Daphnia pulex: one gene and its partners. The main gene of each other region encodes a partner of the protein of the gene in region 3 in a complex. Links are inferred from orthologs where the notes say so. Each region holds a gene or a part of one and is shown on either strand. Other genes may lie near its edges.

Region 1 (4,824 bases), on a different chromosome or scaffold from region 3:
TGGTTGACGCCAAGCTCGTTGTTAACTTGCTGGCTTGCTTGATGGGCTGTAACGTCTCGTCTTCATCGGTGAAACACAAGGCCGCATCGACCCCCTGTACGACAGCCTCTTGGACCAGTGGGGTAGGCGGTGACCAGAGCCCAGCCAGAAGCAGAGGGGTCGTGCTCCAGTTGTTTAACATGCTACTATTGACGGCCTGATGATAGAAATAAAGATACTCAGTCATGATCAGGAAATAAAACCAAAAAATGTATTGCTTCTCATTTTCTGAACCAAAACTTCTGAGTTGAAATTATTTCTCTAGATTATGGAATGTGGACATGTTTACGAGTAATTTACCAAACGAAATTGAAGCATTTCTATGCCGCTCAACAGCTTTCTAGCTATATCAAGATGCTCAGGATCACGGAGGTACGCTTGACGATCGTAGAAGTCATTGAGAAGTCGACGCTCCCCAGCTAGCAGCTCTATTTGGGAACCACAGAAGATTGATAGAAATAAACAAATTGTAAGTATCTCCTTATTCAAAATAAAATGATTGTTGTTAAAGTGAACGTACCAAGGTAGCTGGTGAGCATTCCATCGTTGAGGACGAGCCTAATCCATCCGCGACATCGGCCAATGTCAGACCTCAACCACGGGCAAGAATCTGACAAGTAGTCAACCGAATGTCGATGAGAGAACCCGAGCAAGAAAGGCCAAAAGTTGGGCGACGGTTGTCGAATCACATCACCAGAGAAGACGCTGGAAACCTTGTCGATGAATGAATCACGTAGGCGGTGAACGAACAGAGCTTCCAAGACACAGCACAGCGTATGAGCCGATTCACTATTCCCTTCGACGACCGCTGTTGACTGTTGTTGTTGCTGCTGCTGCTGACGTTGCACCTCTCGCACAGCTTCACCCAAGTGGCCCGTCAGTGCCGTCTTGATCAGCGCGTCGTAATTCATGTCATCTCTGGTCTTCTGGCGTTTCCACATTTTTCAATACACAGAATCAACACTCACATAAGCACTAAAGACAAGAAGAGGGGGCTAAACGTTTTCAGACGCTGGTTCACTAGCTTCAACCAATCCGTATTTCTTCAGCTTTTCCACTGTAATTGTTTGAGCACAGCCAGGACGAATGATGCGATAGGTGCCAGGTGACGACAAGTCGACAACAGTAGATCCTAGTCGAGCGGTAGAGCCGTCTGGAATAGGGCCACCGTTGAAGACAGCCCCGAGATGCTCCCAAATCCCTAGAAATTCTTCCACCGATAGAGTACTCTGAGATCCGCTGATGTTGGCGCTAGTCAACGCTAAAGGTTCAGCACAGCTATTTGCCAGTTGACGAATGAACCAAGAGTCCGGAATTCGAATGCCAACAAGTTTAGTTCCGGGGTTGAGTTCAGGATTCAAGGCAGGACTTCTTTCGAACACAAGGGTGACGGGTCCAGGTAAAAGGTCGTGCAGTAGACGTTCATCTACTGTAACGTGTCCCCACTTGGCGATTTCGCTAACTTGCGACACGCAAATAGCAACCGGTTTATTCTTGTCTCGCGATTTGATTTGATAAAGTTTTTTCAAAGCTTCTGAACTTTGGGACAGACAAGCGATCCCATATAAAGTGTCTGTTGGAAGAGCAATCACACTGCCCGATTTCAGAAGCTCCACTGCATTTTTTAGGATGGCTGCGGAGTTCTTGGGCCCAAGGAGGATGACTGGGTTGATCATTTGACAATTTTAAAGGCGATAATGAGTTGAGTTTAACATGAAAAAAAGAAAGTGGGGGTTTGAAGGCAGGTTGTGTCTAATCACGCCACAGGTTGGAGCACTCGTGGTTGCAGCACTTGTAAAAGGTGGTCATAGGCTCATCTGCAGATCGTGTCTGCATCTGCAAAAAGTAAGCTCTTGAATGGTCACACTTGGGACAAGTTGCTTCAGTGGAATCCACATTCTCCCAGGCAGCAACTCCTCCTAATACATCATCCACTTCCTTAAGTTTGGGGAATGATTTGCTGCTAACTTTTCGATTAATGTTGAATACGTAAGGGCAAGTACGGCAAGAGAATCGGAAACACTTGGGTCCTTCTTCAACACCCAAAAGATTTCCACACGTGGGACAGAACATCAACATTTTGATAACTTCGTAAGATCAATGTCTTCTCATTCAAAAACTTCGTACCATAATACAGAGTTTAAAATGCCACCATTTATATCTGCAAGGGAAATCAAGCATCATGTAACTTGAGAATGTTAGATAATAATCATAGTGATGGAATTTTACCTCTAACAATCGCAAATTACCCGTTGAAAAATGTTGCTTCGATTAATGTCGTCCCCTTTTTCCAACATACTTCCGCCCATGCTTTTTCGTCAGCTGTTTAGAAAAAAGCGTTGCCAAGTCGTGGTAACGTAGACCAAGTTCGAAGCGCCAAATCGAATTGCGAATTGCCGATAAATAAACAAATTATTTATTGTTGTCAAGATTTATAATTTATAATTTATAACCTCGTACTCATAGTAAGAGGTAATTTATTTCATGAACTTTGTTCTTTGTTCATATCAGTGATAAAATTCACTCCCCAAACCCCTTTTGGGAAATAAGCTAAGTATTTTTTTTTAAATAATAAAATTTGATGTTGTGGCAAGCCCACAATAGCAAAGTGATAGTAGTTGATGGGGATCCCACCTTTTTTTTCGGGGGAGGGGTTTCACACCCTTCTTTTTTATTGGTGAAAAAAAAAACGTGAACGTGGTGGCATTAGATTTTATTTGGCGCAATAATTGTTAACTGTCACATCATCCAAACCAAATGATTTGGTCAGTTTAAAATGGGTCGTGGTGAAAAGTGAAAACAACTTTAACGTCAAAGGCTCATAAAGAATCGAATGCATAATACTCTGTAATGAAGCTAACTTGGGTTTGAACTTTGCTTTCCATTCCCTGCATTGTACGGAAGACAGCAATTTTACTACATTAGTAATAACACAGAAATGTAAACTCTTTTAGACCGGAACCGAAAGAGAGAGGCTATAAGCTATATATATAAGTATACATACAGTCTATAACTATCAATCACTTTACTTTTTTTTCCCCCATTGAAATCGTCGTAACGGATTCACGGTATAGCCGCAAACTTTGTGCAGCAGCCAATCACATTGAAGGAAGCAACATTTTGAAATGGCAGATAATACAGTGACACAAAGTTTACCTAACTACATATCTATAACAATAAGCAAATCAACTTGTTCGAAATTGCGTGAGGCAAATGTGGCATCTCTTGGAGACAGGCAAAGCTCTTACTGGTGAAGCTCAGAGAGTCGATTGATGACACTTAGATAGCTTCGTTTGCTCGAAACGCTTCCATCTGGTTGGCTCTTTGGCGTCTGAGATCCGAACGGATGAACAGCGATAGAGCAGCGCCGAAAAATAGTGCTGCCGACAAACTTCCGTTACAGACCAAATCGCCGTAGTTGCTCAAGAGCCAACCCCCGATGATTGTGAAGACGATACCAAATACTTGGGCGGAGGCATTCAGTAAACCAGACGACGTCACTTCTGGCTCAGGGTACGTCAATTCAGCTGCAAACTCGAATCCAACAGGCAGATATCCAGTCATAAAGAACCTTAACCAAATTATCACAAATGTTACGAAATCTTTTAGAACACATAAGTAATATTTAAAAAAAAAAGCTTATTACCCTACAGCTCCGGCCGTGACGAACGTAATGACGATATATTGAAGTTCGAACGTAAAGGTGTAGGCGACCATTCCGGCCACTGCTAATCCATACACCACAAGAGTTGTTTCCCTAAATAAAACAGAACGCAAAAGTCAGCTGCATATCTTGCAAAAATAGAGTATCACGCATTTTCTTTTTTTACCTGAATTTGTGCGTTTTGTCAAGAATAATACCACACACTACCGAGCCGAACATGCCGCAGACGACGATCGTCAAGCCAATCCGACCCGCATTTTCTTCTTCACCCTGAAATAAAAAAACGATTATTTTTTCGTGCATTTCTTTGACATAAAATAATACTCAATAATGTTGTCATTTTAAACTTGACATAATTCAGTGAGGTATAGCCTATATAAATTTAAAATACCGGAAAATGTCGAAGCACAGTTTGGTTGAGCAGGGTAGACATAGCGTAAAAGACACCGGCATTGATTCCGTACGTAATCAAAAGCAAAATGTAATTCTTGTTAGTGACAATCGTTTTGACTGACTGGTAGTAGGTCACCGGCTGTGACGATTGAGGTGCAATGCGTGCCGCATTCGGAGGAAGAGGCGGTTTAGCTTGAAATCCTGTATCGAATACCTTTTTGAAGTTAAGATATTGAAAATATCTTTGGAAAAATAATGGACTTTACCGATCACTACTACAATGAATAAGGCCGTGCAGACGCCCGCCACAATGTAGAACATGAGTTTCAAATCGGCTCCAATATCATCGATATTTTCGTGGTCCTTTACCAAAATAGGGGGCAGAAAAAAGCCGAGGGCCACGCCTAACTGATGTAAGACAAGTCTGGTTAGTTCAGTTTTTGGAAATATTTAAAACTCGCTATTCAGTCTGTCGTGAATGTGATCAGACAAAGTGGATTGTCGTGCAACAATCCAGAGTTTTACTCGTGTCTATTACAACAGACCTGGTTGCCAAAAACACCTATTGAACACGCTGAAGAAACTTGTTCCGCTCCGAACCAGACGGCAGCGACATTGGGTGGAACACCGAGAATGAAAACCTGTCAGCATGTTAAGTAAAAAATAAGTCAATTTAACTTATAAAATAAAGGCAATAACTTACAAATACTATATTAAGAAATAAACAA
Region 2 (6,740 bases), on a different chromosome or scaffold from region 3:
CTTTGAGTGAAGGTTCAGGTAGAGATTCGTACACCTCAAAAACTTGCCTGAAAATGTGAAACCCCAAAAAAGTAGCGATGGATAACTTATTCTGGACGACTATTGTCACTTACGTCTGGCATGACAGAGCCATCGAAAATATTGGAACACATTGAAGTACACCACCAAATCTCCACACTTCAATATTCGACGATATTCCCTCGGTGAGACCTTGGACTCCAGCCTCAAAGAAGGACTGAATAAAAAAACAAAAAAAAACATTCAATACAGATTTTTTATAACTCGCACACTTACTTGGCACAGCATATTATATATATATGTGCATGTATCTTCATTCTTTTATTAATCATTACCTTCAGGACCAACAACATGTACATGGCTACTGATACTGTGGACATAACATTCAATGTTTCAATATCTCTCAGGAGGCTGAGAGGTAATATGATGAACATGCTGCTACCTACATTGCTCCATGACATTAAAATGGTATTATAGAGAAATCTAATATTACATTACAGTAAAACACAAACACGTACCTGCCATGAGAAGTATTCGTGCTGAATGAAATGAATAATTCAGTCCTATTTTGTTTAATATCTCTGGACCAAGATCACCAAGCACGACCAAATAAGCAATACAGCAACCCATGTTGTAGCCTATGATACACACTTCAATCCATAGTTTTCCTAGTGGCCCCATAACATCATAAGCTAAAATAGAATGAAAAGAATTATTTTGGTAAAGGTTTAAGGAAAAATTCAACCAAACTTCATCTTTAGTTTATTGTTGTTGTTTGATAATACCTAAAACTTCATAGTTCCTCCTTCTCGAAATCAAAGAGGATTTGACAAGTTGATGACAGCAAAGTTTTGTCATAATGCTGTTTAAATAGAGTATTATAGAGCCCAAGATGATTCCACACTGTAAGCCAAAATTCAAAGATAATTATTTAAAATGTTGAATCGGAAAACCAAATAAACTATAAAAATAACAACATAGGTATATGCATACCTGTTTGAAACAGAATGGCATGGACAAAATACTTGCACCAATAATTGAATTGGCCAACATCATTGTGTGTTTAGCATTCCCAGACAGAAAGGAATCAAGTTTAATCATTTTCCTGATAATCGTCAATGGTGCTTGTCTCGTAGGTACGCACGTGAAAATGTTCTTAGTATAACAACTTTAATGAAACAAACTCACAATAGCATTTAAGGAAATTGAATTCTCAGCACTCACATATAGTTTTTTATATAGTATCTAAAATATTTGCTGCAACATTCTTTGACTGTTTGACGTGTAAAAATGACTGACGTGTAAAACTTGATTTTAAAGCAGTAAACAAACTCTTCAGACGATTGTAATAAGCTCCTCCCCTTTCTTTTGCTGTATCGGTTTACGCAACCAGGATGTTTATAATCTACGATCTAATCTTAAAATCAGTTCTAGCAGACGGTTGCCTAACCTATCATTGATAACACAAAACTGAGTTCGTGGCAAAAACAACCAGAAAAACTTATATGAGGATGTATCGTTTCCGTATTTTATTATTAACACAAACAATTTTACAAGAAAAAAAAAAACAGTCGCATGAAAAAGCTTAGAGTAGATCAGTAGATCCAGGTTCCAGGATTAAAAAGTGTACATATTTTCATATTAATAAAAAATCCTTTCGAAATTTTATATTCCAGAGGGCTTGTGAAAATGTGGATGAGGCTTGCAGTTATTTTTGTTGGTACGGTTTGAGATTTCTACGTACAAATCAAAAGTAGAAAAGAGATACAGTTACTTTCGCCAGTCAACCATTTCATTTTTCGACAAGAGCACGAACTGAACAATCAAGGTCAAAACAATGAAATGAACAGCGAGACTGTTGCAGGGTAGAAAAAGTGTACTAGAAGATTTTTAATATCCGCTTTTTCATGTTCAACTGCGATTACTTCTTAACGTCATTTCCACTGTCTGAGCTGCACGAATCTTGTCGAGAGCGTCGCCTTGTTCTTTTCTTTATTGTATCGGTGGGTTCCTTCTTCGGAGCTTTAAATTCGGCGACGTTGTAAAGTTGCTTCTGCTTAGCTTTATTCATCAATTCGCTGCGCCTAACCACTTCCGGATACCTGTTTTCGCAATAAAATGTCATTAAAACACAAAAATCATTGGAAAGGAATTGAAACGCACTTGTCAACAAAGGCTTGATCAAAAGGCAATTTGAATTCCCATCCGTCCTTGGTCTTGAAGGAAATTTGCTCCAGAATAACTTTCATTTCATCAGTAGGAATTTTAGTCGCAATAGTGACTGCTTCTCGGTTCACACAACGGTTTAGAGTAAACATGTACAACTATATCAAATCAAAACATAAATGTTAGAACTTTATGACAGTCGCCAGGAAAAAAACAAATCATCAGGAGGCTATTTACCACATAATCCCTGGCTTTGCTGATGATATCAGGATGAATTCCGGAAATTCCACACAATTTAACCGTTTTGTCTTTCTCTCCGCTCGGATAAAGGATTTCGCTCTTGACAACCCAGTTACCTTGGACCAACTCAGCCACCTGTTGCAGCGATTTCAGCGATTCCATTTTAACAGATTCCTGTTTGATTTCTAGGGTACTGCACAACTTACTGAACGAGATCAGCTTAACTATAGATAGAAATTGGTTATCGATGTGGTAATACTATTTCAACATTTAAGTTACCATTAGCCATGAGATTTTTAATTCTATCTACAAGTTGAGGCAGTTTAAGAATTTGAAACATTGACGCGTTTCCTAACGTAAGTTGTTTCTGAAATTCATCAATCTCTAGGCTAGGGCCAATCAAATCGCTGATGTATTTATCTTTTGCCATGGTTAGATTTTGAACTGTATCCGATTTTCCACAGATGAGACGGTTTTTTTCCAACTATACAAATGATCAAACAATAATTCTATTGATTATATAACCTTTAATACTGTGATATAAATACCATGGATTCCTCAGAATTTAATGAATAGAATTTGGTATTGTACCAGGGTTCTTCTGCATTCTTTTTTTGGAGGAACCCAAAAGACTTTTCTCTGAGGGCTTTGCTTCTGTCTGTTTCAGTTCGAGCAAATTTCACAGTGATTTGTTCAGCAACTTCTTCCTCATCACCTGACTCTATAAAATTCACAAAGAACTTTAATAAATTTGAAACAATGCTTCTGGCATTAAGAAATTAACCTGTTGGTTCATCAGTATCTTTTAGATTTTTTTCAGATTTGTCCAAGTATGGAAAGTTGGGTTTTACATGTAGAATTCCATGCAATGGATTGAGATGAAGTTCATTATCAACTACAATGCCAACTGCAAACCTTCCTGGATCCAAAAGTGCTTTTGTGGAAGAATAGGTGATTTTATCCATAAATGAACTTTCATGAAAGAAAGAAAACACTTATTATATTGTTGAAGTAAATATATTACGAACCAATCCTACCCGCTGAAAAAGTTCTGATGATCAGGTTTATCATATTTATTTTGTCCATCTGTATTAATAACAATTTGCTCAGCTTTGCTCCTATCATAATTTTGTGTATGTGTTGGTAATTCAAGCTCTAATTCAACTTCCTGAAGTTTAGGCTTAATCCTTGACTGAAATGTTTCACATTAATATTGAAATCGAGTTGCATGCAAGATATAATACTTACAGCAGCAACATGAGGTCTTTCCATTTCAACTGCAACAGAACGAAGTGGATATTGGAAAACATAGAGTTTCTGAAGCAAATTCTTTGACAAAAAGACTGGGATCTGTAAAAATCATAAACATGTGAGAACATTCACGCCGAATACAGCAACAACACCCAATTCCCACCTCTCTGACAACTTCATCATTCTCCTCTTCTAACTTTGACATTTTTTTTCAGATTCTAGACGCCAAATTATAAATTAGATATCACAAATCATAGATATCACTCCCACAACGTGGGAAAGCAAATTCTCTGCAGACAGCACTGCACAATATTATTCTTCAAATCGTGAAATGGGGAGGCAGTCGTCTGCTGGAAATGGGTCATATTAAATCCTATTTGATAAATCATCGAAATTATTTAATAGACACGAAATTTAATAAATGCTGTATGCATTTCTTCAGATTTTATAAACATATATTTATTTTTAAAAACCTATTTGGCTGGCTAACTTATTTTCAGTATGGCAAACAACAATTTCATTGGAGCTCATTTGACCTTGCTTTGAATAGGTTTAAAATGATTTTTTTTCAATTAAACTTAATAATCGGAATATGCCCTAACAAAAAATAGTTTCTTTAAAAAATCTTTAAAAAATGCATATGAATTCGTGGAAGGCTAACGAAAAAATACCTCGTGGCTAGACAGAGTTTGCTCATAGTTTATTTCTCTTTCTGAGAAAAAAGATTATCCCCTTTTAAATGAATTAAACAAATCCATTAACTTGAGGTTAGAGGAAGAGTAAGAAAACGTCTGAAAACAAAAAAGTGGAAGGAGGATGGGTTTGTACCCCGGAGTTATGACTGCAAATAGGGAGTTTTCTTTGTCCGAAAAATGGGGGGAAAGAGTATAAAAACCAACGTCGTCTAGGTTTTCTGTAGCAGAATTTCCCAGATTCTATCAGCTCACAGTCGAGTTCCAGTTAAGAATATCATCAAAATGGCCATGTCACCTACAAAAACAAGTGGAAAAGCAGCGAAAAAGGCAGGAAAGACTCAAAAGGGTGGTCTCAACAAGTCTGGTGAAAAGGTAAGAATTTCGTGTTATAAACTTTGAACGAGTTTGATTCACATCTTGTTTTCTTTAGACCAAACGTACCAAGAAGAGGAAGGAGAGTTACGCCATTTACATCTACAAAGTCTTGAAGCAGGTAAATGTTTTGTTTCTCTTCGTGATATTTTATAGTGTATAATCGTGTAATTACAATCGATGAAACTTTTCTGCAGGTACATCCCGACACTGGAATTTCGTCCAAGGCCATGACTATTATGAACAGCTTCGTGAACGACATTTTCGAGCGGATTGCCGGAGAATCTTCGCGGCTAGCCCATTACAACAAGCGTTCGACCATTACCAGTCGTGAAATCCAAACAGCTGTACGTCTCCTCCTACCTGGCGAGTTGGCCAAGCACGCTGTTTCGGAAGGCACCAAGGCTGTCACCAAGTACACCAGTTCAAAGTGAAAATGACTTCCGAGTGGGTCGACCACAATTCAATTTTTTTTATTAGACTATTTTTTTATATCTTCTATAATTATCTACATCGATCATAGCTGTATTCATTTGTCGTAGTGTTGTAAAACTTTTGAGGTGGGGAAATCACTATTCATCTTTGCTGATTCAAACAATGTGTGACTTGTGATTTATTATTACTATGTGATCATTCGCGCTACGTACATAAATTTTGAGTTGGCAATAATACATTACTTAATTTCACAATTTAAATTTGTTTCCAATGATTACTTGAATGAATATCGTTTGGATGGACAAATAGAAATGTTCAAATTTCAATGTTTGAAAATGGCGCCAATCCGCGCAAATTATACATCTCTTTCGAAGTTTGAAGTATAGAATTAAAAATAATCACGACTAAACGAATGTTTTCATGTATGGCAATTATTGAATAATATTATACATAAGCTTTATTTATATTAAATAAACTGCTGCAATTTGTGGGAGAAGACTATTCAGTGTAAACTGTAAAGATAAAGATGAAGACAAGTCTGCACTTGCCTAAATTTCTCCGCGCAAGGTGGAGGAGGGGTGCGTTTGCGTTTTTTACTTCAGTAGAAGTCAAGACGTCAAATAGTGACCACAGCTCAGCTCGTCAACCTGTTGCTTACATTATCGTGCCTTTCGATTGTTTCATCATCTTTTCTTATTTAGCGACTAAGCTTATAATAATTATTTGATATGGATGGTCAACCACCGGGTTATTTCGGTCATAATTGGGAAACCACCAACAGGTGAAGTGCTTAATTTTGAAGTGACATTTTTTAAGCATAACAGTTAATTAATCTCTTAACTATTACAGCCAAGAAAATGAAGACATGTCATTTGACCTTTTACCTTTAACTAATTCACAAAATCAAGTACTTCAATCAATCATTGAGAATCCCTCAAATTATGTTGAGCACACGAATGCTCATCCTGTTGAGGAGGAAAATAATTACCTCTGCACAGATGCATTCCATTTCCAACATTATCAGCAACAGCAACTAATGGACACAACTACCTATCCCATTAACAATTGCCCTGGCATATCGATAAACACCAGTCCAACTTTTGATGTCCCTAATGGAGTGCCAGCAATGGAATTGTGGCCGGGCGATCAAAATTTCAATGTTGAATTTAGTAAAGCTCAGGATAAAACTAAAGCAACACCATGGATAGTAAGTCAAACATGTTGTGCTATTTAAAATTTACACAGTTCCTTATATGTTATATTTGACACATACATTATTTTTCTTAGTATTCCACAAAACTGAAGAAGCTGTTTGTTAGTATGGATAAGGCCTGCCCAATTTCCTTTAGAATGGATAACCTTTCACAGGAATTCCACAGATATTGCATTCGGGGACAAATGGTGTATTCAAAGGCTGATCACTTTCAAGGCAAATAATAACATTTAAACGTTTCTCTGTATCCTTTTAACAATTTATTTAAATTTTCTTCCTATAGATCCCGTTGAACGGTGCCCAGCCCACAAGGGGACTGGTCCACCGTTGCCCTATACTCCACATGTATT
Region 3 (7,054 bases):
AGAAAGAAAAGATAATAAGAGACTTAAACTATCAGAAATTGCATACCTGTTGTCAGAGCGAAAGGTATGGTACACAAGGCCAGGATCGATTTTAGGATCAATGTGGAATTGCAGCAACTGATGATCGGATAATTTATGCAGAGCAACAAGAGCATGTTGGAAAGATTCTGATTTAGTGTCACTAGGATCATGTGGCTTTAACAACAAAAGAACAGAAAGTTTTACTGTTTCCAGCTCTTCCATTCCAGATGTAGGGTGTGTAAAGTCCAAGGCACAGAAACTTTTGACCACGACATGAAGCAGGAGAGCGAACAAGTTGGAATCATGCAGACATTCCACTGAAAGATGATACACTGGTGGTTTGCATCGAACCTATACGGGAAAAATGAAAGCATACAGAAAATGTTTAGATGAAATCAGTTTAATTATGATTTACCAGAGGGTAATTCAATGTAGGAGTTCCGATAATCATCCACACTGGGTTAGGAATTCAAGAGCAAATTTTTAAAAAAATATCTTTGAAACACAGACATTTATAATCTAAGAAACGAAAACAATATTATTAATAACGATTTTTTAAAATAACATGTTAAACGTTAAACGTAAACAAACAAACCTGACGTTTTTCTGTTCAAGGTAAGGGATCTCCATTTATACAAGGCCGCCGGACAGTTGTAAAAACTGCTACCCAAGAACCCAACTCGCTTCTTGAAGGCCTGCAAACTATAGCTTTTGGGTTGACGCACATCAAAGCCGGGAAAGTGAGACCGTTCCACTTTGAATCGCTGTGTAAAAAATACAGCTATTTGTATATCTTCATGTGGTCTATTTTGAAGACCTTTCTTTGTTTAATCTCTTTAATACAAAAATTTGCGTGATTGGTAACACATTTACGTAAATTTTGTGTTAATGTTTAGTGTCGGTTTGAATTTCGCAGTTTGAATTGCAGCGGTGGCGTTTCGAAACTGAGCCCCGTTTGAATTAGAATCGCTGTTTTAAAAAATACAGCTTATTTATCTTCGTAATATGTGATCCATTTTGAAGAGATTTCCTTGTTTAATCTAATGCATACAAAAATTTGCGTAATTGGTGTCACAATAACGTAAATTTAAGTGTCGATATTATGCATTTGAATTTTGCAGTTTGAATTGCAGCGGTGGCGTGTCGAAACTTAGCCTCCTTCGACTGTGACTAGAATCCCTTCGGGAAATTTGGTGATCAAAACAAAAAATTGGCACGGTTGTCAATCATTAATCGTGTCATTGAGAAAAAAAAGGCGCGAAGCGGACATTGCTCGAGATATTTCTGTAGACAGTCAAGGGCAATGTCTAGCATCCGGCACGTGTAGCTTTTTCCCATACAGACTAGTCTATAGCGGTTCCCTCAAGCAATCGACATATTTTACAAAAATTGTTCCTATCTGGCGTGTTATCGAGAATCTGTCATTCGACAAGCAACAATTGGTGGTCAGTTTTTGAGTGCTTATAAACCTGTGCCAACTACGCATTACACTGTTTCTTAATTTTCTACCGATAAGGTGACACAATGACAAAATTGTCAACGAGCCCCATAACGTAAGTTTTGCTTATTTACATGTTTTTTCTTCATTCCCTTGAGGGTGTCTATTTCACAAAGCGCGCCTTTTGCTGTTGCTCTAGATAATTTTTCTTCGACTACAAACGGCTGGTTTTCTTTTTACTGAGTCATTTCTGCAAATACTTATGTTGAAAAATTCTTAGTTATTATTCTCGAACAAAATTTTACAATCCAAGACAATTTCGAGCGACACATGACATGAGTTAGGTTAAGGGATGATCCTTGATTGCTTTCTTGAACATCTTCGACAATTACGCAGCAGTTTCACATCCAAAACCCAAACCCAGACAACGTCAGATTCGTGACACCCAATGTTACAATTCCTTTGATTTAAACTTTAAATAACTTTCCAATATTAGGATTGTTTCGTCTGCCTGGGTTTGTCCTAACGTCAGATTATCACTCATTAAGTGAATTTTTTCCACTAAAGACTTTTCGGCAGGGTGCATCGTATCGGATAACTGTTACAATAGAAAAGTTTCGTAAGTCAAACAGTGGGAGTATTTTAATCAAGAGATTTGCGAAAATGGGAAATACTAACTTCTGCTATTTCCTCTTCGGGAACTCCATCATCTCCTTTTAGACGTTCAAGCATTGATTCCAACATGGCATGTTTTTCAAGCAGGCGTTTGTTTTCTGTCAAGTCGTGCATTTGCCGTACCATAGCGTTAAATAAGCCTTTGTAACTCGCTTCCAGTACTGTCCGGACAACCTGTGCAAGGAAGTATTTTTGCAATTACACAGCATCATATCAAGGTATTTATATTTCGTTCTCACCTGAGGTAAGTCGACGTGGTACAAAATGAAGGATTTGACCGGAGCAAAATTGGAAGTCCCCTTTTTCAGTTCCTTGATTTGTAGAAAGTTGTGTTCCAGCAATTTGTAGGTGAACATTTTGGCTTCCTTGGCCGGAATCATTGCAACATTCTGCATCTGGTCTTGTTCCATAAACTTCTGAATCCGAGTCAGTCTAAGAGTGTGAAACAAGAAGATTTAATGTTTTAGCATATCCTGAACCATTTTTAAAATTTCTGATCCACCTAAAGAGTCGTAAAGCTTTCGATCCAAATCTTTCTAGTACAATCGAGTCCAACGAAGCGCAAGCCAAATTTTCGAAAACTTTCGAATAGTCAAGATTGAATTGACCGCCACCAGCATCGCCCGGTTTGTCAATCAAACCAGCAGAATCCTCGTGCAGCACTCTCAAGTAGTGATCGAAATGTTCCAACAAAATCGGACTACTGTCGTTTTTTCTAACGGCATCCTTAATTACGTTGTAGGATACGGGAGTTGTTGCTGGTGAATCGGGGTTGCTACTTTCGCGCCAGAGCTTGAGGATTAAATGGTATAATTCGCCAGCTGTTGTATCCACTCTTCTGGCAGCAGCATTGACTAGAATCACATTCCTAAAAAACATTTTTTACATACAATAAAAATGGCAATTTAGGGTGGAGATAAATTTATTTCTACCTCAATTCAATGTCAAATCGTTCGTGATTTACACGCCAAATTATTTCGCTGTCGCAATGTCCGCCTAACTGAGTTGCTTTTTCTTTCAGCATTCTGGCTATAGGTTCAATCTCCACGTTTGGAACAGCAAATTTTTCTTTCTCTTCAATTTCAAGTGTGGGCACTTTTAGTAAAGTTGCGTTTTCTGCAAGCTTTGGGCATCTAATGATGAAGTTATCTTGGGCAAGTCTTTGAAAACTTTGATGGAGGGCTGAGGGACTTAAAACTTCACTATCTACAACGAATATAAGTATGGTTACTGTAATTTACAAAAATCAGGGCTGAAAATACCATTAGCTTCATTCAGCCTATTTGCTGAATGGAAAATAACATTGGAAGCACTTGCTTGTCCTAGATTTAGCAAGATCTCTAGCAGAATTTCTTCCGATGTCCCATAAATCCTCTTAATCATGTATAGATACCTGCAAAGTCAACTGTAAAATTTTAAAAGGAAATTACCACTATATAAGAAAAATGTACTTTGGGTATCTAATGAGACAGTAGACATTGTGATGCATCATTGAGTACTCTGCAACATTGTTATTCCGTTCACTTGCTTGGAATTTGACTAGGTTATGTTGAATCATCACAGCCAAAGCTTTCTTAACCTATGAAAAATGCAGAATTTTTAGAAAGTGTATCTTTAATATAGTTAAAATTGATCACACTTCGCGAATGGACAAGCCGGTTGCAGTACGTATGTCGGTCAACATACGATTGCCTCGCCTAAGTAAATAGGATCCGACTTGGCCGACAATTTCTCCATAGTAGTGGTTTAACAACTGGCTGCATACTTGGCTAAAGTGACCTAATGTAAACGATGACATTTTCTCGTTTGATTAGTTATGTTCCTTCGGAATCTAAAGAACATGTGCTCTTCAAACATCCACTAAACTACAACTTTTGAAACAGTATTTCTCAAAATGTTCGTCTGCAGCAAGGTATACTGATACTTCCTGCGTTGCCAAACGATACAAATGCAACCAAAAATTAGAAATCGAATTTTGCGTTTTATAAAAAATTAAACACGTGAACTTCCACTACCTGCGCATTTGAGCGGGGATCTTAGTCCTCAATCAATGAAAGACCTTGATGTGTAAAATTTCATGTTTTTCCCATTAAGTCTAAACAAATCAAAGTACAAGGTCACAGTGGGAACTGGGAAGCAACCCCTTTTTGCGAGGATGAAAAACGGCACGTGGCTATACTACGAACAATCAAAGAATGAGCTCCAAAAAGCCAAAACTGCACACGGTTATACCTTGGTCGAGGTATACTCTTCAAGATTTTACCTTGAAACACTTATAAAACTCGGCTGTGAATGGCCGTCGGACATCGGGAAGAGAATTTGCGTTCACCTTTTAATATTGTGTATGAGGCATTCGGCACGTGAAGTGCATCCCAAAAGGCGCTTGAACCCCAAAATTTTATTAGTGTAAAGTTTAGCGTTTAGGCTACGCTTACAGTGCAAAAGTGTTTTAGTAACAATTTTCCAAGTGTCTTTTATTATTCAAAAATGTGTTTCATCAACAAAATGTGGCAATCATTCGTGTAAAAAAAATGCCGCCTTTCGTATTCGAAAAACAGCCGTTTGGAATAAAATCTAACTTTGATTAATAATAGCGACATTTTCTTCGTAAGTTTTATTGATTTTATAAAAAATGTAATTTTAATTTTGTTTTCGCCAGAGAAAAATTGGATGCATCAGTAAACTGTCTAATTTATAATTTAATTTATGAAGTTTTCCTATCTTTGAACTCATATCTTTTTGTTTTCTCAACGCAGTGCGGTGGTGAGGCCGATCGCCGTGTCTAACTTAAGTGATAGCCGCAAACGCAAGTCTAGTCAAGACGTAGAAGGTGCCTATGAAGGTAGCTGGGCCATGAGACCGAAACCTCCGACGACGACAACACCGCCACCGTCGTCAACACCTTCATCGTCCGAAGAAGCATCTGCGCCTGGATTGGAGGAGGAAAACAAAGACGAAATGTTAAACATTTATTTTTGCATGGTTGACGCCCTGCTCCGATCAGCCGATGAAGAACGACCACTTCATTCCGCTCGTAATGAGCTAAATCAGAAACTAGGCCAATATGACGCAAATAAAAATAAAGATATGCGTCTTCGACTACTTAAACATTTTCAGAGTCAGGGAAAAGAGGCCAGAGATCTAGTGGGTCTTTTTCGCCTTCTTGATGTTATCTTGGACGATCACATGGACCTCGTCGAGATTCCTTGTAGGGACGAGGATGGATGTGAATGTTTTGATAATCGCATTTTGCCGATCATCATCAAGCGCTGCCCGAATCTTGGGAAACTTCACTTCCATTGCTCAAACGGCTTGGTAGGTTTTACGTTTTAGAAGTGACACATAAAATTATGTTTTAAACAAATGATAACTTAAGATATGTACTTATTTTATTAATTATTAGGCGCAAGACTGGCCAGAGACCATTGGTTTTTACATCAGCCAATTTACTTTTCTGACAAGCTTGCATTTAGACAAGGTTCCCATTCAGTGCAAATCCATCATCTCCGTTTTGGGAAAGTCTTGTCCGCGTCTAAAGTCCTTGCGTCTCGGTTTCGATAATTTACCTCTTTCTATCGACGAATTTTTGAGTATATTCTACTGTGGTGATTTGACCCTGCTGAGAAATGTCACTCCAGATGTTCCCTCAATCGAACACGACCAAAACCCGGCCACCGAACAGAAAAAGGCTTACAATGAATGTTGTGTGCCGCCTCATCTCTTATATTCATTCTGCCAAACCTTGGAAGAAATTCGGATAAATTATTTCAGCAGTAATGAGCCATATGTTATTGCCTTCATTCTACGCCACCTGCCGCTTTTACAAAAGCTTGAAACATCTGATTTTGAATTCAAAGACTACACTACTAGTATTCGCGCACTGTGGGATACTCAGAATCGAATGCATCGAGAGTCATCTGCCGACGAAAGCATGGAGTTATCTCTTCCCTCGAATTCAGATTCTATTGTGCTAAAAGAATTTTCAGGTATTAATTATTATTGTAACTCGCAACTTTCTTCAACCAAATAATCACAATGATTTTACGAATCCAGGAAAGTTGGCTCTGACGAGTCTTTTCGTTGAAGGTGAGAGGGATTACTTGAATCTCAAGAGCATGTGCGAACTCTGTCCTGATCTTCAGAAACTTCATCTCCTTGAAACAAGTGTTCGTGACGTTGCTGAAACTAAAACTTCAGAAAATGGATTCACATTATTAGAAATAGCAAATGATTTCAACAAATTAAATAAGGTATTAATTTTAAAATGTTTGCGCATTATTTTTGAAATTTTAATTTGTGCCCTATTAGTTAAGGGTTTTAACTTGTACGGAGAGTGATGGTCCACTATGTTCTGTGATCACGCAAGCAACGGCGCCCTTCCTAACCGCGCTCGAAGTAGTTTTGGACGGCGTTTTTATCCCGAAATTCGACTTTCTTATTTCGTGCGACAACCTTCAGATCCTCAAACTTTCTACCGAGTTTCACCCACCGCTCAAAAGCTATTTCAGTGTAGAGACTAAATCAAATCTGATCCCCGAGACGTTTTTGCCAAAGCTAGAAGAGGTGCAATTGGATTTCTGCATGAACTCCGAACTCGAGGAACTTTTTCTAAAGAAGTCTACCCTTAAACATATCGACGTCCTATGCTTGCATCATGTTGGACAGTCGGATGAGCAATTTATCGAACTTTTTCTGCAAGTATGACAAGAATATTCAAACATTTATTTTAAGATTGTTTATAATTACACTTGTTTTCATTTACAGTGGCCTCATCTAGTCAGCTTCAAGTATAAGATGCCTCGGAAATTCACTGTTGATATGGGACTGAAGATACTGGCACATCTTCCATGTTTGCGCTCTCTTTCTCTCTTTAAAGATATTAAATACAGATGTTCTGGTGATTTTAATCAACTCAAGAAA
Region 4 (5,369 bases), on a different chromosome or scaffold from region 3:
TCAATCCAAAAGAGTAACGTTCACGCATCTTAATTAACCATTGTTAAAATTCGCTCTTTTATCAGGTTGTTGAAGACGGATACGAGTTTTTCGCAAAACGTCAGCTCGTGACCCTCTTTTCGGCACCCAATTATTGTGGCGAGTTCGACAATGCCGGAGCTATGATGTCAGTCGATGAAACGCTGATGTGCTCTTTCCAGATTCTCAAGGTAACGTTAAGCAAGCACGTACACTCATATCCGTTACATTGACACTTACATCACTTTTTCTTTTGACGTGTTTACAGCCAGCCGATAAGAAGAAATTTCCGTACGGAGGCTTGAACACCGGCCGACCCATGACGCCCCCACGAGGTGGACCGCAGGCCAAACAAAATAAAGGAAAAAATAAATAAATCTACTACCCGCATCCCTTTATGTCCGTCTGACAGACGGGCAATGTTTGACTAGCGTTTAGGAACAAAAAGAAGCAAAAAAAAAGAAAAGAAATCGAGGTCTTGAATTGGATGTTTCACCGACGAATTGTTATCATGAACCTCCAAATTACACACAAAAGTAAAACAAAAAAAAAATTACACAAGTTATTTTAAGCGTTGCAATCGGATGGCTTCGTGCGAATGCTGTATCGAAATAAAAAAAAGGGGGGCAGAAGAGGATCAAGGGATCGTCGATGGGGGGAGGGAATTGTATTACTAAAAAAAAGAAAGGATTGGTTCTACCAATTGTACCTTTTGATTTCATTCTTGTGTTTTTTTTTCTTTCATTCTCCCTTTTAATCTTATCACAAGTGACGAACTGTAAAGCGACGACGATGTAGTTAAACTTCCCTCCTGGTCCTGAAAAATAGCCGAGTTCGAATTTTCTTTCTTCGAACCCCCCAAACCCCACCATTTGTCATGTGTCTGTTGTGTATTTAAGAAAAAAAAAAGTCCTGAAATATCTCCCACGTCTTTTTGTTTTTTTCTCTCCGACCCCCTTTACCATTTACTCTTCCTCCAAGGAGTTAGCACTCGGGCGATATACACACAAAATATGTTCTCCATATTGATTCTGTCCATCTTATTTTGATCCCGTCATTACAATAAATGAACAGAAATGTGCAACCAAAATGACAATCTTATTTATTCAAGTGATGTCTAACCTAGAATCAAGTTTGGTTCACCCCGGAATGAATCTTCTGTCAAGTGTTTCGAATGTTTCCGTCGTTATCCTGCTGTTAATGGTTAGGATGTTGGAAGGAATGTTGATCGACTAAAAACAAATAAAGATAAAATAACGGCTGTCGAGAAACCTTGATGGATAACGGTGGTTTCGTTGGGCACATGGTGTAATGGTTAGGCAATTGAAACATTTCGCTGTCATCTCATGCTTTCTCGGATTTAGTAATTTGTTTACATTCAGAGTTGAGTTTTTAACGAACGTGAAAATGAGAATCGGGGTTAAAACAAATTTATTCTGGCAAAGTATTTTGAATGAGTTCTATGAGCTCCTCAATTTGTTCTTCAGTCAACCGTTCCTGATCTGTAGATTGGACAATCTAAAAAGGTTTGAATCACTGATTAAGACATGGACAATTCTAGTGGCATGCATAGCTTTTATACCAGTGATATTTCAACGTCAGTTTTAGGCCTCAGATTCAAGATCATGGTTTTCTCTTTTTTAGTCAGTCCAAACTTTTTCACATCCTCGAGAAATTTCTTGAAGCAACCCTCAGACTGTACTGCAGCTGGCGTGCCTTCAAGATATTTTATGGCCTATAGGCAAAAAGAAACTGGTGAATCGAAGCAGATACACATTGAAATCATTTGAAAAAATCCTTACTTCATACGTGATGGTGGCTAAGGACCCACTTTGATTCCTGGTTTGGTCTCCTTTGACTCTTGAACTGTTCAAAAGTCCCAGAACCTTGAAGAATGTTAGATTACAAATAAATTATTCAAAGCCACACATTCTCCAGTAAACAGGTTTTACCTACCTCAAAATTGCTAAGTATAGCCGTGTTTGCATCGATTCTGTAACACAAACAAAAAATGGGGTTGAGTGGAAGTTCATGGACAAATTTATACAATTAGCTTACATTTCCATTTCAATTACGATCAGTAGCCAGAAATGCTTGAAGATTCCAAACACGAGCAGATTGTTTTGAAAAAAATGCACGTTTTTTTAGAGAACTTTTCTTCACGCTGCAGTTGTAGGCAACGATGTCATTTGGAAACCGCGGTAAAATTATTTCGATTTCAATTCAGTTTTATCAATTCTATCTATTTAAAGAAATTTTGAAAATAATCCAGCAAGTATTATGTAATTTTCGTTTGATCAAAATTATCTTGTGGTTTTTAAAGGCACGAAGAGGAAGCAACGCTGTAATTGCTGTCTGCTAAATATTGGTAAACATTCTCTTTGGATGAGGTTTGCAATGTTGAAATCATGTCGTTGCTTTCAATTGCTACCTTGATTATTCAAAGAAAAAAGCCGACCGCACCGCAATATCGCAAGGTAAAGGTGCCCTATTTACTCTCTTTAGTATTTGAAGGTTTTCTTTGCTTAATCTACCTCGTGGGCATGTTTATTTCGTAAGGTTGATTCACCATAGTAAGCCATAAAAGATATATATGTTATCTTATCGCTTATCAGCAAGAATCATAGACCTATTACAACTACAGGTGAAGAATACAGGCAAGGCATAATCCTAAATTTTCTGTTGATGTAAATTATATTCTAACAAAGTAAAAAAAAATTGTATAGAGCAATGGATAACCAACCTAGTATTGTTGAAGCAGATGCTGTTCATCATAGGTTGAGTAATCAAGTCAATACAGTCAAAGATTTTCCCTATAGATGCTATGACTGCCCACAGTTATTTACTGCATTGGAAGACTTGGCTCAGCATTCCATTAAAAACCCAACCCACAGTGAAGAAATGTGTTTAAAGTGCAAGAAATCCATTGTTGTATTCTTTACATCTAAATGTGCAGTGAGAATTCACTCTTGTAACAAATCTGATGTTTGTCACAATCATTCAGATCTTCACTTTCACAGTCAGTTCCTTTTTACCAAATTAAATTCATCAGGTTTGATTCCTGATTACACTGTTATAGGATGTGACCTTCAGAGCTGTGAAGCTAGTTTTGATTTTTCAGCCAATGGTATCTTTAAGTATTTGAAACACGTCAACAGATACAAGCACACAACTGTTCCCGATTGCAGAAAATGTGCGTTACCAGAATTCCAATTAAGTGTCGGAGGAGAGAAAACCATTTCCCACTATTGTGTCAAAACTGGAAAAATTATCTGTGTTGGGAAACCTGTATTATCAGTTTCTAGTCGTTAGAAATCGTTCTTTTTTGCGCCTGTTTATCATGAAATGTTTTTTCTTTTATGTTTAACTACTTCCCTATCCTCCTTATTAACAAAAAAACCCGCGATTTACATGTCTACAAATTGACACACCCAGATGTTTTTGTGATGTTTGGCAACAATGTTTAGTCGTTAAGGAAATTTCTAATGTTTATCAACAAAAAATTCGGGACACACGGGAAAAAAAGAATACAGATAAAAACATTGACCTCTATTCATATATGGCGTGCTGAATTATACATATGTACTGCTAAGCTTTATGGTTTGACTGAACACGCCCGTGTTCAGTTTTCCTCTGAATTTTTTCAAGTCTTTGCTGGACTTTGGAAGAATATAGATGGATGAGTATTCAGGCGGAATTGAAGGTAAGAATTATTTCCCTTGACCTCCAGACATTTTACCAATGCATATTCTCAGAACGGCGTGTGATCTTTTACAAACCAAATATTTGTTTAGTAGTTCAAAATACTTGAGCAGTTTTTTTAATGACCTAGAAACAGATGCAGTTCATCATCGATTGGCTGGAGAGTCCCCAGCTATAGAGAAGAATTACCAATGCTACAACTGCAATCAGTCATTCTGTTCCTTGGTAGACCTTGGCAACCACTCCCAAAACTTACCTTGGCACAGTGTGGAGATTTGTTTAAATTGTACGGATCCCATCACAGTGTTTGTACAGAAATTTCCATTTAAAGTTGTCCGCCTTCACACATGCAAGAGGTCCCATCTTCGCTACCAAAACTCAGACCTTCACCTTCTTTCTATTCAGATTTCTAAAATTCTTTGCTGGAATGAGAAAACACAGCATCAGTCTGTGATTTTTTGTGATACCTGTAATGAGTTGTTTTCTCAGACCCCATTGGGTCTTTTCGAGTTTTTAGTTCATTCTAATTTAACTGCACACAATGTGATTCCATCAAGCCACTGTAAAAAATGTACCATGCCTGAATTCAAACTGACTGGTAGCAATTTAGAATGTTGTATTGCCCATTTTTGCACCAAAGATTCCAATTCAATTCTCAAGGAACTTATTCAAAAGAATGTTCAAAAGATTGAAAAACACAGTCAGACTAAAAAATAGTCTATCCCACATATATTACTATTTCTTGGGTTGAATAATATTCCTAATATACATTATACAATGTCTAATTATTATAATTATGCAAACTTGTTGACAGCAAATAAAGACCATGGGGCCTAGGAGAGAGGAACATTTTTGTAATATTCAAGTGACTTACTTATTGATTCTTCAGGGTTGTAAATAGGTTTGTAGCCGAGACGGAGAGTAGCCTTGAGCCGATTGAAGCAGTAGAAACAAACAATGAAGTACAATGTCGCTGGATGCGGAAAGGGGTTTTTGAGGTGCACCAATGGTCGTAGCATACGCGACACGAAATAAAGAAAAAGGACAAATATTACAGCAAGAGTAGCCGGATAGACAATCGACGAGGTCCTCATCGATCTAGCCTTCAAAAATGGATCAATAAATTCAAAGGCATTCTGAATGACCGTGTCGTCCGTGATGAACATGACTTCTCCGCCAACGGTCGATGGGTTTTCCAATAATTGATTCTTTGCAAGTATGTGAGCCCAGGCGGCATTTCCTGTTTTTTTTTTTCAAAAATTGATTACTGTAGCGTTTTTTAAATTAACTTCTTTGTTTTATTCATGTCTTCACGAACCAGCGTACGTGACTTGAATTCTTTCACCACCCCATCCGATCCTGTACAAACATCCGCCGTGATCTTTGGCGATCTTCAAAGCATGAGTGACGTAATAAGGGTCTAATTCTCCGTAAAGAAGAGTTGGGCGAAGACAAACCGTGGCTAAATTCCCCGAACCTGATGTCGTCGTGAATAGATTTTGGTTTTCTTAATTTCATTTTACAGCGATAAATAGGAGGATTAGTACCGTCTGACAATTCAATTCCATTGGCTTCCTTCACAAGGTTCTCTGCTTCGTACTTGGTTCGTCCATAGTGGCCAAATAGATAGCCATCTTTAGGTGGCGACT

Evidence for each region.
Region 1: DNA-directed RNA polymerase III subunit RPC3-like (region 3) and DNA-directed RNA polymerase III subunit RPC10-like share a complex: the UniProt entries of both Homo sapiens proteins name them as parts of the RNA polymerase III complex. The link is inferred for Daphnia pulex from reciprocal best matches to the Homo sapiens genes POLR3C and POLR3K.
Region 2: DNA-directed RNA polymerase III subunit RPC3-like (region 3) and DNA-directed RNA polymerase III subunit RPC5-like share a complex: the UniProt entries of both Homo sapiens proteins name them as parts of the RNA polymerase III complex. The link is inferred for Daphnia pulex from reciprocal best matches to the Homo sapiens genes POLR3C and POLR3E.
Region 4: DNA-directed RNA polymerase III subunit RPC3-like (region 3) and DNA-directed RNA polymerase III subunit RPC9-like share a complex: the UniProt entries of both Homo sapiens proteins name them as parts of the RNA polymerase III complex. The link is inferred for Daphnia pulex from reciprocal best matches to the Homo sapiens genes POLR3C and CRCP.

Annotation. Positions count from the first base shown.
Region 1 is NC_060019.1:12,451,952-12,456,775, reverse strand, and holds DNA-directed RNA polymerase III subunit RPC10-like, read right to left. Parts: upstream 2,119-4,824; coding exon 1,792-2,118; downstream 1-1,791. Other genes in the region: pleckstrin homology domain-containing family M member 1-like, read right to left, coding at 1-196, 340-467, 560-980; yrdC domain-containing protein, mitochondrial-like, read right to left, coding at 1,035-1,715; feline leukemia virus subgroup C receptor-related protein 2-like, read right to left, coding at 3,319-3,610, 3,686-3,796, 3,870-3,973, 4,095-4,297, 4,363-4,504, 4,642-4,737. UniProt on the Homo sapiens protein: Core component of RNA polymerase III (Pol III) which synthesizes small non-coding RNAs using the four ribonucleoside triphosphates as substrates. Can mediate Pol I proofreading of the nascent RNA transcript.
Region 2 is NC_060017.1:5,952,432-5,959,171, forward strand, and holds DNA-directed RNA polymerase III subunit RPC5-like, read right to left. Parts: upstream 4,038-6,740; 5' UTR 3,881-4,037; coding exon 3,839-3,880; intron 3,775-3,838; coding exon 3,673-3,774; intron 3,617-3,672; coding exon 3,462-3,616; intron 3,397-3,461; coding exon 3,209-3,396; intron 3,146-3,208; coding exon 2,973-3,145; intron 2,909-2,972; coding exon 2,704-2,908; intron 2,649-2,703; coding exon 2,422-2,648; intron 2,343-2,421; coding exon 2,182-2,342; intron 2,121-2,181; coding exon 1,940-2,120; 3' UTR 1,793-1,939; downstream 1-1,792. Other genes in the region: putative sodium-coupled neutral amino acid transporter 10, read right to left, coding at 1-47, 114-235, 354-460, 537-710, 804-921, 1,012-1,119; histone H2B-like, read left to right, coding at 4,653-4,742, 4,801-4,863, 4,940-5,176; cellular tumor antigen p53-like, read left to right, coding at 5,906-5,958, 6,027-6,384, 6,465-6,606, 6,674-6,740. UniProt on the Homo sapiens protein: DNA-dependent RNA polymerase catalyzes the transcription of DNA into RNA using the four ribonucleoside triphosphates as substrates.
Region 3 is NC_060018.1:10,222,065-10,229,118, reverse strand, and holds DNA-directed RNA polymerase III subunit RPC3-like, read right to left. Parts: upstream 4,328-7,054; 5' UTR 4,150-4,327; intron 4,062-4,149; 5' UTR 3,933-4,061; coding exon 3,774-3,932; intron 3,714-3,773; coding exon 3,586-3,713; intron 3,528-3,585; coding exon 3,397-3,527; intron 3,341-3,396; coding exon 3,067-3,340; intron 3,003-3,066; coding exon 2,637-3,002; intron 2,567-2,636; coding exon 2,374-2,566; intron 2,309-2,373; coding exon 2,138-2,308; intron 2,058-2,137; coding exon 1,911-2,057; 3' UTR 1,722-1,910; downstream 1-1,721. Other genes in the region: uncharacterized protein LOC124188665, read left to right, coding at 1,546-1,574, 4,891-5,449, 5,538-6,120, 6,188-6,384, 6,443-6,832, 6,899-7,054. UniProt on the Homo sapiens protein: DNA-dependent RNA polymerase catalyzes the transcription of DNA into RNA using the four ribonucleoside triphosphates as substrates.
Region 4 is NC_060023.1:11,611,833-11,617,201, reverse strand, and holds DNA-directed RNA polymerase III subunit RPC9-like, read right to left. Parts: upstream 2,085-5,369; coding exon 2,077-2,084; intron 2,012-2,076; coding exon 1,975-2,011; intron 1,905-1,974; coding exon 1,821-1,904; intron 1,754-1,820; coding exon 1,601-1,753; intron 1,537-1,600; coding exon 1,450-1,536; downstream 1-1,449. Other genes in the region: serine/threonine-protein phosphatase alpha-2 isoform, read left to right, coding at 66-209, 287-394; 3 beta-hydroxysteroid dehydrogenase type 7-like, read right to left, coding at 4,554-4,960, 5,039-5,197, 5,268-5,369. UniProt on the Homo sapiens protein: DNA-dependent RNA polymerase catalyzes the transcription of DNA into RNA using the four ribonucleoside triphosphates as substrates.